3 linked regions of the Daphnia pulex genome follow. The protein of the gene in region 1 purifies or fractionates together with the protein of each later gene. This does not show direct contact. Links are inferred from orthologs where the notes say so. Each region holds a gene or a part of one and is shown in the gene's direction. Other genes may lie near its edges.

Region 1 (4,418 bases):
TTTGGTCGTGTTCGATTGAGGGAACATCTGGAGTGACATTTCTCAGCAGGGTCAAATCACCACAGTAGAATATACTCAAAAATTCGTCGATAGAAAGAGGTAAATTATCGAAACCGAGACGCAAGGACTTTAGACGCGGACAAGACTTTCCCAAAACGGAGATGATGGATTTGCACTGAATGGGAACCTTGTCTAAATGCAAGCTTGTCAGAAAAGTAAATTGGCTGATGTAAAAACCAATGGTCTCTGGCCAGTCTTGCGCCTAATAATTAATAAAATAAGTACATATCTTAAGTTATCATTTGTTTAAAACATAATTTTATGTGTCACTTCTAAAACGTAAAACCTACCAAGCCGTTTGAGCAATGGAAGTGAAGTTTCCCAAGATTCGGGCAGCGCTTGATGATGATCGGCAAAATGCGATTATCAAAACATTCACATCCATCCTCGTCCCTACAAGGAATCTCGACGAGGTCCATGTGATCGTCCAAGATAACATCAAGAAGGCGAAAAAGACCCACTAGATCTCTGGCCTCTTTTCCCTGACTCTGAAAATGTTTAAGTAGTCGAAGACGCATATCTTTATTTTTATTTGCGTCATATTGGCCTAGTTTCTGATTTAGCTCATTACGAGCGGAATGAAGTGGTCGTTCTTCATCGGCTGATCGGAGCAGGGCGTCAACCATGCAAAAATAAATGTTTAACATTTCGTCTTTGTTTTCCTCCTCCAATCCAGGCGCAGATGCTTCTTCGGACGATGAAGGTGTTGACGACGGTGGCGGTGTTGTCGTCGTCGGAGGTTTCGGTCTCATGGCCCAGCTACCTTCATAGGCACCTTCTACGTCTTGACTAGACTTGCGTTTGCGGCTATCACTTAAGTTAGACACGGCGATCGGCCTCACCACCGCACTGCGTTGAGAAAACAAAAAGATATGAGTTCAAAGATAGGAAAACTTCATAAATTAAATTATAAATTAGACAGTTTACTGATGCATCCAATTTTTCTCTGGCGAAAACAAAATTAAAATTACATTTTTTATAAAATCAATAAAACTTACGAAGAAAATGTCGCTATTATTAATCAAAGTTAGATTTTATTCCAAACGGCTGTTTTTCGAATACGAAAGGCGGCATTTTTTTTACACGAATGATTGCCACATTTTGTTGATGAAACACATTTTTGAATAATAAAAGACACTTGGAAAATTGTTACTAAAACACTTTTGCACTGTAAGCGTAGCCTAAACGCTAAACTTTACACTAATAAAATTTTGGGGTTCAAGCGCCTTTTGGGATGCACTTCACGTGCCGAATGCCTCATACACAATATTAAAAGGTGAACGCAAATTCTCTTCCCGATGTCCGACGGCCATTCACAGCCGAGTTTTATAAGTGTTTCAAGGTAAAATCTTGAAGAGTATACCTCGACCAAGGTATAACCGTGTGCAGTTTTGGCTTTTTGGAGCTCATTCTTTGATTGTTCGTAGTATAGCCACGTGCCGTTTTTCATCCTCGCAAAAAGGGGTTGCTTCCCAGTTCCCACTGTGACCTTGTACTTTGATTTGTTTAGACTTAATGGGAAAAACATGAAATTTTACACATCAAGGTCTTTCATTGATTGAGGACTAAGATCCCCGCTCAAATGCGCAGGTAGTGGAAGTTCACGTGTTTAATTTTTTATAAAACGCAAAATTCGATTTCTAATTTTTGGTTGCATTTGTATCGTTTGGCAACGCAGGAAGTATCAGTATACCTTGCTGCAGACGAACATTTTGAGAAATACTGTTTCAAAAGTTGTAGTTTAGTGGATGTTTGAAGAGCACATGTTCTTTAGATTCCGAAGGAACATAACTAATCAAACGAGAAAATGTCATCGTTTACATTAGGTCACTTTAGCCAAGTATGCAGCCAGTTGTTAAACCACTACTATGGAGAAATTGTCGGCCAAGTCGGATCCTATTTACTTAGGCGAGGCAATCGTATGTTGACCGACATACGTACTGCAACCGGCTTGTCCATTCGCGAAGTGTGATCAATTTTAACTATATTAAAGATACACTTTCTAAAAATTCTGCATTTTTCATAGGTTAAGAAAGCTTTGGCTGTGATGATTCAACATAACCTAGTCAAATTCCAAGCAAGTGAACGGAATAACAATGTTGCAGAGTACTCAATGATGCATCACAATGTCTACTGTCTCATTAGATACCCAAAGTACATTTTTCTTATATAGTGGTAATTTCCTTTTAAAATTTTACAGTTGACTTTGCAGGTATCTATACATGATTAAGAGGATTTATGGGACATCGGAAGAAATTCTGCTAGAGATCTTGCTAAATCTAGGACAAGCAAGTGCTTCCAATGTTATTTTCCATTCAGCAAATAGGCTGAATGAAGCTAATGGTATTTTCAGCCCTGATTTTTGTAAATTACAGTAACCATACTTATATTCGTTGTAGATAGTGAAGTTTTAAGTCCCTCAGCCCTCCATCAAAGTTTTCAAAGACTTGCCCAAGATAACTTCATCATTAGATGCCCAAAGCTTGCAGAAAACGCAACTTTACTAAAAGTGCCCACACTTGAAATTGAAGAGAAAGAAAAATTTGCTGTTCCAAACGTGGAGATTGAACCTATAGCCAGAATGCTGAAAGAAAAAGCAACTCAGTTAGGCGGACATTGCGACAGCGAAATAATTTGGCGTGTAAATCACGAACGATTTGACATTGAATTGAGGTAGAAATAAATTTATCTCCACCCTAAATTGCCATTTTTATTGTATGTAAAAAATGTTTTTTAGGAATGTGATTCTAGTCAATGCTGCTGCCAGAAGAGTGGATACAACAGCTGGCGAATTATACCATTTAATCCTCAAGCTCTGGCGCGAAAGTAGCAACCCCGATTCACCAGCAACAACTCCCGTATCCTACAACGTAATTAAGGATGCCGTTAGAAAAAACGACAGTAGTCCGATTTTGTTGGAACATTTCGATCACTACTTGAGAGTGCTGCACGAGGATTCTGCTGGTTTGATTGACAAACCGGGCGATGCTGGTGGCGGTCAATTCAATCTTGACTATTCGAAAGTTTTCGAAAATTTGGCTTGCGCTTCGTTGGACTCGATTGTACTAGAAAGATTTGGATCGAAAGCTTTACGACTCTTTAGGTGGATCAGAAATTTTAAAAATGGTTCAGGATATGCTAAAACATTAAATCTTCTTGTTTCACACTCTTAGACTGACTCGGATTCAGAAGTTTATGGAACAAGACCAGATGCAGAATGTTGCAATGATTCCGGCCAAGGAAGCCAAAATGTTCACCTACAAATTGCTGGAACACAACTTTCTACAAATCAAGGAACTGAAAAAGGGGACTTCCAATTTTGCTCCGGTCAAATCCTTCATTTTGTACCACGTCGACTTACCTCAGGTGAGAACGAAATATAAATACCTTGATATGATGCTGTGTAATTGCAAAAATACTTCCTTGCACAGGTTGTCCGGACAGTACTGGAAGCGAGTTACAAAGGCTTATTTAACGCTATGGTACGGCAAATGCACGACTTGACAGAAAACAAACGCCTGCTTGAAAAACATGCCATGTTGGAATCAATGCTTGAACGTCTAAAAGGAGATGATGGAGTTCCCGAAGAGGAAATAGCAGAAGTTAGTATTTCCCATTTTCGCAAATCTCTTGATTAAAATACTCCCACTGTTTGACTTACGAAACTTTTCTATTGTAACAGTTATCCGATACGATGCACCCTGCCGAAAAGTCTTTAGTGGAAAAAATTCACTTAATGAGTGATAATCTGACGTTAGGACAAACCCAGGCAGACGAAACAATCCTAATATTGGAAAGTTATTTAAAGTTTAAATCAAAGGAATTGTAACATTGGGTGTCACGAATCTGACGTTGTCTGGGTTTGGGTTTTGGATGTGAAACTGCTGCGTAATTGTCGAAGATGTTCAAGAAAGCAATCAAGGATCATCCCTTAACCTAACTCATGTCATGTGTCGCTCGAAATTGTCTTGGATTGTAAAATTTTGTTCGAGAATAATAACTAAGAATTTTTCAACATAAGTATTTGCAGAAATGACTCAGTAAAAAGAAAACCAGCCGTTTGTAGTCGAAGAAAAATTATCTAGAGCAACAGCAAAAGGCGCGCTTTGTGAAATAGACACCCTCAAGGGAATGAAGAAAAAACATGTAAATAAGCAAAACTTACGTTATGGGGCTCGTTGACAATTTTGTCATTGTGTCACCTTATCGGTAGAAAATTAAGAAACAGTGTAATGCGTAGTTGGCACAGGTTTATAAGCACTCAAAAACTGACCACCAATTGTTGCTTGTCGAATGACAGATTCTCGATAACACGCCAGATAGGAACAATTTTTGTAAAATATGTCGATTGCTTGAGG
Region 2 (3,171 bases), on another chromosome or scaffold:
ACATGTTGTGCTATTTAAAATTTACACAGTTCCTTATATGTTATATTTGACACATACATTATTTTTCTTAGTATTCCACAAAACTGAAGAAGCTGTTTGTTAGTATGGATAAGGCCTGCCCAATTTCCTTTAGAATGGATAACCTTTCACAGGAATTCCACAGATATTGCATTCGGGGACAAATGGTGTATTCAAAGGCTGATCACTTTCAAGGCAAATAATAACATTTAAACGTTTCTCTGTATCCTTTTAACAATTTATTTAAATTTTCTTCCTATAGATCCCGTTGAACGGTGCCCAGCCCACAAGGGGACTGGTCCACCGTTGCCCTATACTCCACATGTATTGCGTTGTGATGACAATGATTCAACATATGTCGATCACAATGATATGCGGCATTCGGTTGTCGTTCCACTGAAGCCTCCTGCTCCCGGGACCCAGTCAGTGTCATTGTGTTACAAATTCATGTGCCTGTCTAGCTGCCAAGGAGGCTTGAACCGACGACCCACCAAACTGATCTTTACATTAGAGTCTGTGACAAAGTAAGTTGTCCATGAGAGAATTTTTATAATTATTAAAACTACATTCCTACATTACATTTCTTCTTCTAGTGGAGGACGATACGAGGTTTTTGGACGATATGCCTGTGATGTTCGTATATGTAGCTGTCCCGGTCGGGATATTAGGGCTGAAGAAGCAAGATTTGATAAAATGCATTCACATGATCCCACTGCCAGCGAAACAGACTCTTCAAACTTGATTCCTATCGAGCTTCCTTCCATGGCCCAGTTGAAAGGAAAAATTAAAAAAAGAAGAGCTGTTCTTCCTCCTCCTCCTCCTCTGGTCGCGCAAACAGATTCGACAGAAGACGATGACGGAATCTACAACTTGAACGTCAATGTAACTTTATTCATCATCACTTAACACAATTGTCCTACTAATTCACTATTTTAATAATATTTTTTAAATATAGATTAAAGGACTCAAAAATTATAATTTCATCAAAGATATTATAAGTCGTTTTCAACATGACTACGATGGCTTTCCCCCCGGAAACAATGATCAGGCTAATCATACTGATACTGGGAAACGTTTTAAAAAAGAGGAGCCTTAAATCGTGAAGTCTTCCCTTAAAAAGAGTCGTTTCAAAATACAGTTTTATTCTTTTTTAATGTTTCTTGAATTATTGGCATGATCATTAAAATTAAACCGATTTTTCACAAATTCATTTAACAGCGTGTAACTCTGTAACATGCCAATGATGTGCCGAATAAACTTAGTATGACTAAAAGAAATTATCCATTTTCTAATGGAATTTTTCAATGAAAATTTAATTATTTTTTAGATTTTATTCTTCGAATTTAGAACTAGAGTTGAGTTGGAAGTTGCCAAGTTGGACTAGCTGGTTTAAAGTGTAACCCCGGCCCCGCCCACTTGCATGAGTAGCAGACGACATTACACGTGTAGAAGTTAAAAGAAACAACGTGCTTAGCCGGTGTTTCACGACTTTGTTCGTGCTTAATAAACACGAAACACACAGACGGACCACACTGAATCAAAATAAATCTTTGGGCTTATTAGTTAATTGTTTAAACCATGTTCGTTCTAGCTCTTGTCAAGCAGACTGTAAGAGTTCCTTCAGAAAAATTCAATCGGGATATTGATCAAGCTATTTCGGAAGAATTGAACTTAAAGTTTGCTAATAAAGTAATTAAATTCCTATGATGATTGACATATGCATTTATTAGTAAAATATTTGTTCTCATTTAGGTAGTTCTGGATGTTGGACTGTGCATTGCTCTGTGGGATATAATTAAACGAGGAGAAAGTTTCATTTTGCCAGGTGATGGTGGCCATCATACCAAAGTTGAATTTCGTTATGTAGTATTCAGGCCTTTTATGGAGCAGATTCTTGTTGGTAGAATCAAAAACTGTGATAAGGAATCAGTCCAAGGTAACTGAAGATTATTCATTTGTTATTAACAGTTGTGCATAATCAAAAATTTGCATCAAGTTTCTTTGGGATTCTTTGAGGACATCTTCATTTCTTCTGAGAACTTGCAAAAAAACTCCAGATTTGATGAAACTGAACATCTTTGGATTTGGGAATATCAAACAGAAGATGGAAAACATGACCTTTTCATGGATACAGGTTTATAAAAAAACAGATAACAGCATAATTTTATGATAATTATCTTTTTGTGTTGATTGTAATTGTATTCTTTTAGGTGAAGAAATCCGATTTAAAGTAGTTGCTGAGTATTTCATTGATACAACACCTTCTGGCCCCAGTAATGAAGCACCTGACTCATCTCTAGATCCAATAAAAGACAATAAAAGGTTGTCGTATCGCATAAATGTGCGTAATTTGAAATCCGAAACATTACTATAGTTAAATTTCTTTTACTTTCATGTGTAAAACTTTAATGTTTTGTTTATTTGCAATTATAGGCATCTATCAATGAATCAGGATTAGGTTTGCTCTCTTGGTGGGCTAGCTGAAGTCTTGAAGCTGTGAAATGTTGCGATATTTAAATCAATAAACTTCACCAATGTGTTTTTTCTAATTTTCGATATTTACACTTTATTTCTTATCGTAAGGAAGGAACCACAGGCCATCTTTTAAAAATAGGAAAATCTCAGCCTTTTTGACAGTCCTTTTAGAAAAACTGAAAATGCATTGATTTAAAATGCAATGCATTTAACGAAAGCCTTATTCTAAATTTGTTTTTAAGAAAAAATGTTCCTACTAACGCAAAGGGTCAATTCAAAGATATACGTCTATGTTCTTCTGTTCAGCAAAAATTGTTTAATTCGGTTGAACTTATCTTATGAACTTCGAGTAAAAATAATTATTTTGAGGTTAAATAAACTTGAATATTCAGCATTTCAGCTATTATTATTTAACACCCGTTTGTGAAACAAATGTGTTTAATCGAAGTGAACGCTTTTTTAATGGTGTTCGGGGCGAACTTCATTATTTGTAATTCTCACAGTTTATTCGCCTCGCCTTATTTAATTGGAAACTTTGAGATACTTTGAATTCTGAATTTCATGTGTAAATAATTTAAAATTCTGTATTGAACGATGTAAAAGACAAATTAAACAAGCAAGAAACAAGTTGTGTAAATTGCAGTCGAAGCTGTTTTGAATCTCCAACGGTCGTTTCGG
Region 3 (4,431 bases), on another chromosome or scaffold:
TAATGCGCCACATTATGTTCAATTAAAAAAGAGACGTGGAACAGATTGAAACTTAAACGAGAAATGTCAAAACAACTCACCATGGCGACAACCAGGCAGACGGCAACCAGAAGGAAGAGAATCGGAAGGAACTTCATTTTTTATCTAGGAGATCAGACGTGGGGGTTTAGGAATTCAAACGCCCAAGTGGGTCGTCATTTTATAGTCGAGCCGCATTTTTCTATGTCGATTATTTAAGTAGCGCCAGTTGAACTATCGGATTCAAATGAAACTTGACAATTTACGAGGGGCTGGAAAATGATTGGACGTGATACGAATGTGTTGGAATAAACACCAACTGCAACACCAACTTTGCAGGGTCGTTGTAATCCAGTTGAACCGATGACGGGAGTTGCAGCTGTTCACGTTGGATTTCTCCGTTTCTTTTGGAACTGCCCGGCGGATTGCAACTAATTGTGGGGAAATTGGAAATGAAAAGGAATTTTAGAGTCTATTAGCACACGTGACCTAATCACAGAATATGATTAGTTTTTAAGAAACGTATAGACTGAAAAATGTGTTTAACGTATTACGTGCACACTGTCCAGCACGGATTTTACGACCACCTGTGTCGGAATTAGCGATTCCAACTGAACTATATTTGGTACGCTCTGTTGATCAAACTTGTCGAAAGGCTAAACGGTCCCCTCTTGCAGTCGGATGAAACTGATTTTTAAAAATAAAAGTTATTTGCCTGCCACTGATTTAATAAATTAAATGAAATAAGATATATAACTTGAATTCACAACTGTTAGTGTTTAAAGCAATTAAAACGTTTTAATTTCTACAGAAAGTTTAGAGATCAGACAAGAGACATTGTAAATCTAAATTTCATTCTGTATGTTTGGTATCACAGCTAGGCCTACCTCATTTCGTTAGGAAGATGTATTAAAATGAAGTTTCTTCCATACTTTATCTGTTGATTCTGTTCACACTGATTTTGGATGATACTCTTACAACTGATGGAAAATTTGGTCTGAAAAATATTTGAAAATTTAGTATAAATTAATTTGGGTTGTGGGAGAAAACTTTTCTTTCTTCCAGATGGCAGTCTAAAGTTTAAGCTTTCAGGAATCGGCTGGCACTGGCTGGTATTCAAATTTTTGCCACTTTTTTAGTTTGGAAAACAGTTTTATATAAATTGAATGTTCAAGATTACTGGATCTATATTTGTATAACTTCTTCCTGCCAACATAAAAATTGTTGATGCTAGTTTTATGAAAACTGTTTAAACCAGGGGAGAGATCTCTGACACTGTCATTTGGACATCATCATACATCATGTTCTTAAAGAAAGACTTCCAACAGATCATTAAGTCAGAAGGTTAATTAATGAGAAATCCTATGGTAACAAATTCTTATTAAAATCAATTATCAATTTCAGTTAAATTCTATTATGACCAGCTCCATCGGCGTTTTTCATTTTCTGCTTATTTTGAAATTTTAAATTTTCTCGTCTGCTTATACGTTGCCAGATTTGATCCCATTCCGATTGCATCAATGAATAAATTTGGCAACAGGCAACGGTTAGGTTTGAAATTCCCTCCCCCTTCTTCTTCTTCGTCGTCTGGAATTCTCTTAGCGATCAAACGGTCACCATTCATCAATTGATTCTTGCTCACAAGTCCCGCAGGTAATTCCTCTCTCTATTAATTTTCAATTTTTCTGACATTCCCACGTGGAATAATAGTTTACTTCTTGCTTCGACTATAACAAATTGTGAAATAATGGTATGAGTCATCATTGACACATTTTTAACGACTGCCATAGTCTGGGAAATTTTGCACGTGGCGCGGGAAATTTTTTCTCTTTGTTGCTTCATTGTCTCGAGTCCCATTTCTCATTTTTCTTTTGTCATTGTGCCAGATTTGAAAATCCCTTTTAGAATTCTCTTTCTTTGACAGCTGGAGTAAATTACACTATCACAATGCCTACTGAAGCAAATCCCAGCCGGTTGAAGGACTTCAAGAACAAAGGCAGAGATGTTGAGGTAAATACCTTAAAATAACTAGTGTCAGTTCTCAAATGTAACAGATTTTTCATCTTTCTTGTTCAGGAAATGAGGAGGAGACGTACAGAGGTGAATGTTGAGTTGCGGAAAGCCAAGAAGGAAGATCATTTGTTGAAGAGACGTAACCTTGAAATCGATGATGAGCCCCTCAGCCCACTCCAAGAACAGAATCGGATGGCTGCAGCAAATATGAGCATTGAGGACATAGTCAATGGTATGTGTGCATCAGTTTTTATTTCTGAGTTGCTTCTCATATGTTTTTCATTATCGTTAGGTATCAACAGTGGTGATGAGAACAAGGAGATCACTGCAACCCATGCTGCCCGTAAAATCCTCAGCAGGGAACGTAATCCACCCATTGACATCCTCATTAATGCAAATGTTGTTCCGAAGCTGGTGGAGTTTCTCAGTCGTGTCAGCAAGTATGTCAAGTGTCTCTTTTGGTTTTTGAACATTTCCTAATGGTCTTTCTTTGTTTCAGCCCCGATCTGCAGTTTGAGTCAGCCTGGGCTCTCACCAACATTGCTTCAGGCACATCTGACCAGACAAAGGCTGTCGTCAGTGCTGGGGCTGTCGCTGGCTTCATTTCCCTGTTGGGGTCACCTCATCCAGTTGTGGCAGAGCAAGCTGTTTGGGCTCTGGGTAACATCGCCGGAGACGGACCAGAGCTTCGTGATCACGTCATCGAGCAAGGCATTATCAAGCCTCTGCTTACTTTGATTAAACCTGATACTTCGGTGAGTTTTATTTTAAATTTACGTTCGTGTGCAGTTGTTAATTGATTTGATCTATAGGCCACATTCTTGCGTAATGTCACTTGGACTTTGTCCAACTTGTGTCGTAACAAGAATCCTCCGCCCAGTGTCCCTGCCGTCCGGCAACTGCTTCCCGCATTGGCCCACCTGATCCACAACAACGACAAAGAGATCCTCGCCGATGCTTGCTGGGCTCTTTCTTACCTCACCGATGGCCCCAACGAACGGATTCAGGAGGTTGTCGACGCCGGTGTCGTCCCACGGCTGGTCGCTTTGCTGGACCACGTTGAGGTGGCCGTGATCACCCCCACTCTGAGAACAATCGGGAATATCGTTACAGGAAGTGACATTCAGACCGATTCCGTCCTGGCTGCTGGTGCCTGCCCGTTGCTGGCCAAGTTACTCGTTCATGCTAAGATGAACATCGTCAAGGAGGCTGCCTGGACCGTGTCCAACATTGCTGCCGGCAATGCCATCCAGATTCAGGCTCTCATCACCAACAATGTTATTCGTCCGTTGGTGGATGTGCTGGGCAAAGGTGACTTCAAATGCCAAAAGGAGGCAGCTTGGGCCATCACCAACATCACTTTAGGTAACTTATTTCATTTTTACTGGTGTTTTATTGATTTTTAATTGATTTTTCTTATTCATTTCAGGTGGCAATGTGGAGCAGATCGCCTTGTTGTGCCAGTTTGGTGCCATCGCTCCGCTGTGCACTTTGCTGGAGGCAAAGGAACCCAAGACCATCTTGGTCGTGCTGGATGGATTGGCTAATATTTTGGCCGCAGCTGAGAAAATGGGTGAATTGGAGAAAGTTTCCCTTCACGTCGAAGAGTGTGGTGGTCTGGACCGCATCGAAGCTCTGCAGAGCCACGACAATGTTGAAATCTATCACAAGTCATTGGCCATTCTGGAGCAGTACTTCTCAACTGACGTAATTTATTCTTTTTTTATTGTTTCTTTTTTTGGGTTTATTTCAATGATTACCACAACTGTTCACATTCATAGTGTTTGTGCTGACAACTTAACCATTACTGAGATTTTAGAAAATTAGTTTTATTTTGAAATAGTGTTCTTGAATTTGATTTAATCGTTTTTGTTTGTTATTTCGACAGGGGGATGAAGATTCCGAGTTGGCGCCATCTACATCGCAGAGTGGCAATTACGAATTCAACAACTCGCCATCTCAAGCCCCCGAAGGAGGTTTCTCATTCTAAATTTTGTATAATCTAAAAATTCTTTTTGATTTTTTTCTGCCTTTACAACGGTAAATATATTCTTCACTTTCTTGAACGCTATCCTAATCATGAGTTTTGGCCTTTTCTTATTTCAAAGTTTTTTTCTAAATTGTTTTTTAATTGAAAGTTGCCATTTGCTTTCATTTCTGTCCATGCACGACGTCTTCTTTCCTCTTTCTCAATGCGCGATAAACGAGCAATACAAAACAACTCGATCAACTCTACATTTGATAAGTTTTGATTTTGTCGTGCTAGTTTTTATTTTTTGTATTTCAAGTTGATTTCCTGATTCCAGGTTGTTGGCTGCTTACAGTTAATCCGTGTTCTGACATTTGTAGATAATTTCCACATCAAAGTTTCATTTCTACGTTGACATTTAACCCTAACAG

Evidence for each region.
Region 2: the proteins of DNA-directed RNA polymerase III subunit RPC3-like (region 1) and DNA-directed RNA polymerase III subunit RPC8-like purify together in Homo sapiens (affinity purification with mass spectrometry; 5 studies listed by BioGRID and IntAct, with this or other methods). This does not show direct contact. The link is inferred for Daphnia pulex from reciprocal best matches to the Homo sapiens genes POLR3C and POLR3H.
Region 3: the proteins of DNA-directed RNA polymerase III subunit RPC3-like (region 1) and importin subunit alpha-1-like purify together in Homo sapiens (co-immunoprecipitation; 3 studies listed by BioGRID and IntAct, with this or other methods). This does not show direct contact. The link is inferred for Daphnia pulex from reciprocal best matches to the Homo sapiens genes POLR3C and KPNA2.

What each region holds. Positions count from the first base shown.
Region 1 is NC_060018.1:10,223,320-10,227,737, forward strand, and holds DNA-directed RNA polymerase III subunit RPC3-like, read left to right. Parts: upstream 1-1,472; 5' UTR 1,473-1,650; intron 1,651-1,738; 5' UTR 1,739-1,867; coding exon 1,868-2,026; intron 2,027-2,086; coding exon 2,087-2,214; intron 2,215-2,272; coding exon 2,273-2,403; intron 2,404-2,459; coding exon 2,460-2,733; intron 2,734-2,797; coding exon 2,798-3,163; intron 3,164-3,233; coding exon 3,234-3,426; intron 3,427-3,491; coding exon 3,492-3,662; intron 3,663-3,742; coding exon 3,743-3,889; 3' UTR 3,890-4,078; downstream 4,079-4,418. Other genes in the region: uncharacterized protein LOC124188665, read right to left, coding at 1-262, 351-909, 4,226-4,254. UniProt on the Homo sapiens protein: DNA-dependent RNA polymerase catalyzes the transcription of DNA into RNA using the four ribonucleoside triphosphates as substrates.
Region 2 is NC_060017.1:5,958,825-5,961,995, forward strand, and holds DNA-directed RNA polymerase III subunit RPC8-like, read left to right. Parts: upstream 1-1,424; 5' UTR 1,425-1,596; coding exon 1,597-1,707; intron 1,708-1,770; coding exon 1,771-1,954; intron 1,955-2,014; coding exon 2,015-2,152; intron 2,153-2,228; coding exon 2,229-2,359; intron 2,360-2,451; coding exon 2,452-2,502; 3' UTR 2,503-2,567; downstream 2,568-3,171. Other genes in the region: cellular tumor antigen p53-like, read left to right, coding at 72-213, 281-542, 612-900, 974-1,114.
Region 3 is NC_060028.1:48,882-53,312, reverse strand, and holds importin subunit alpha-1-like, read left to right. Parts: upstream 1-1,518; 5' UTR 1,519-1,671; intron 1,672-1,904; exon of another isoform or gene 1,905-1,942; 5' UTR 1,943-1,965; coding exon 1,966-2,028; intron 2,029-2,094; coding exon 2,095-2,263; intron 2,264-2,323; coding exon 2,324-2,471; intron 2,472-2,530; coding exon 2,531-2,786; intron 2,787-2,843; coding exon 2,844-3,396; intron 3,397-3,460; coding exon 3,461-3,738; intron 3,739-3,919; coding exon 3,920-4,021; 3' UTR 4,022-4,266; downstream 4,267-4,431.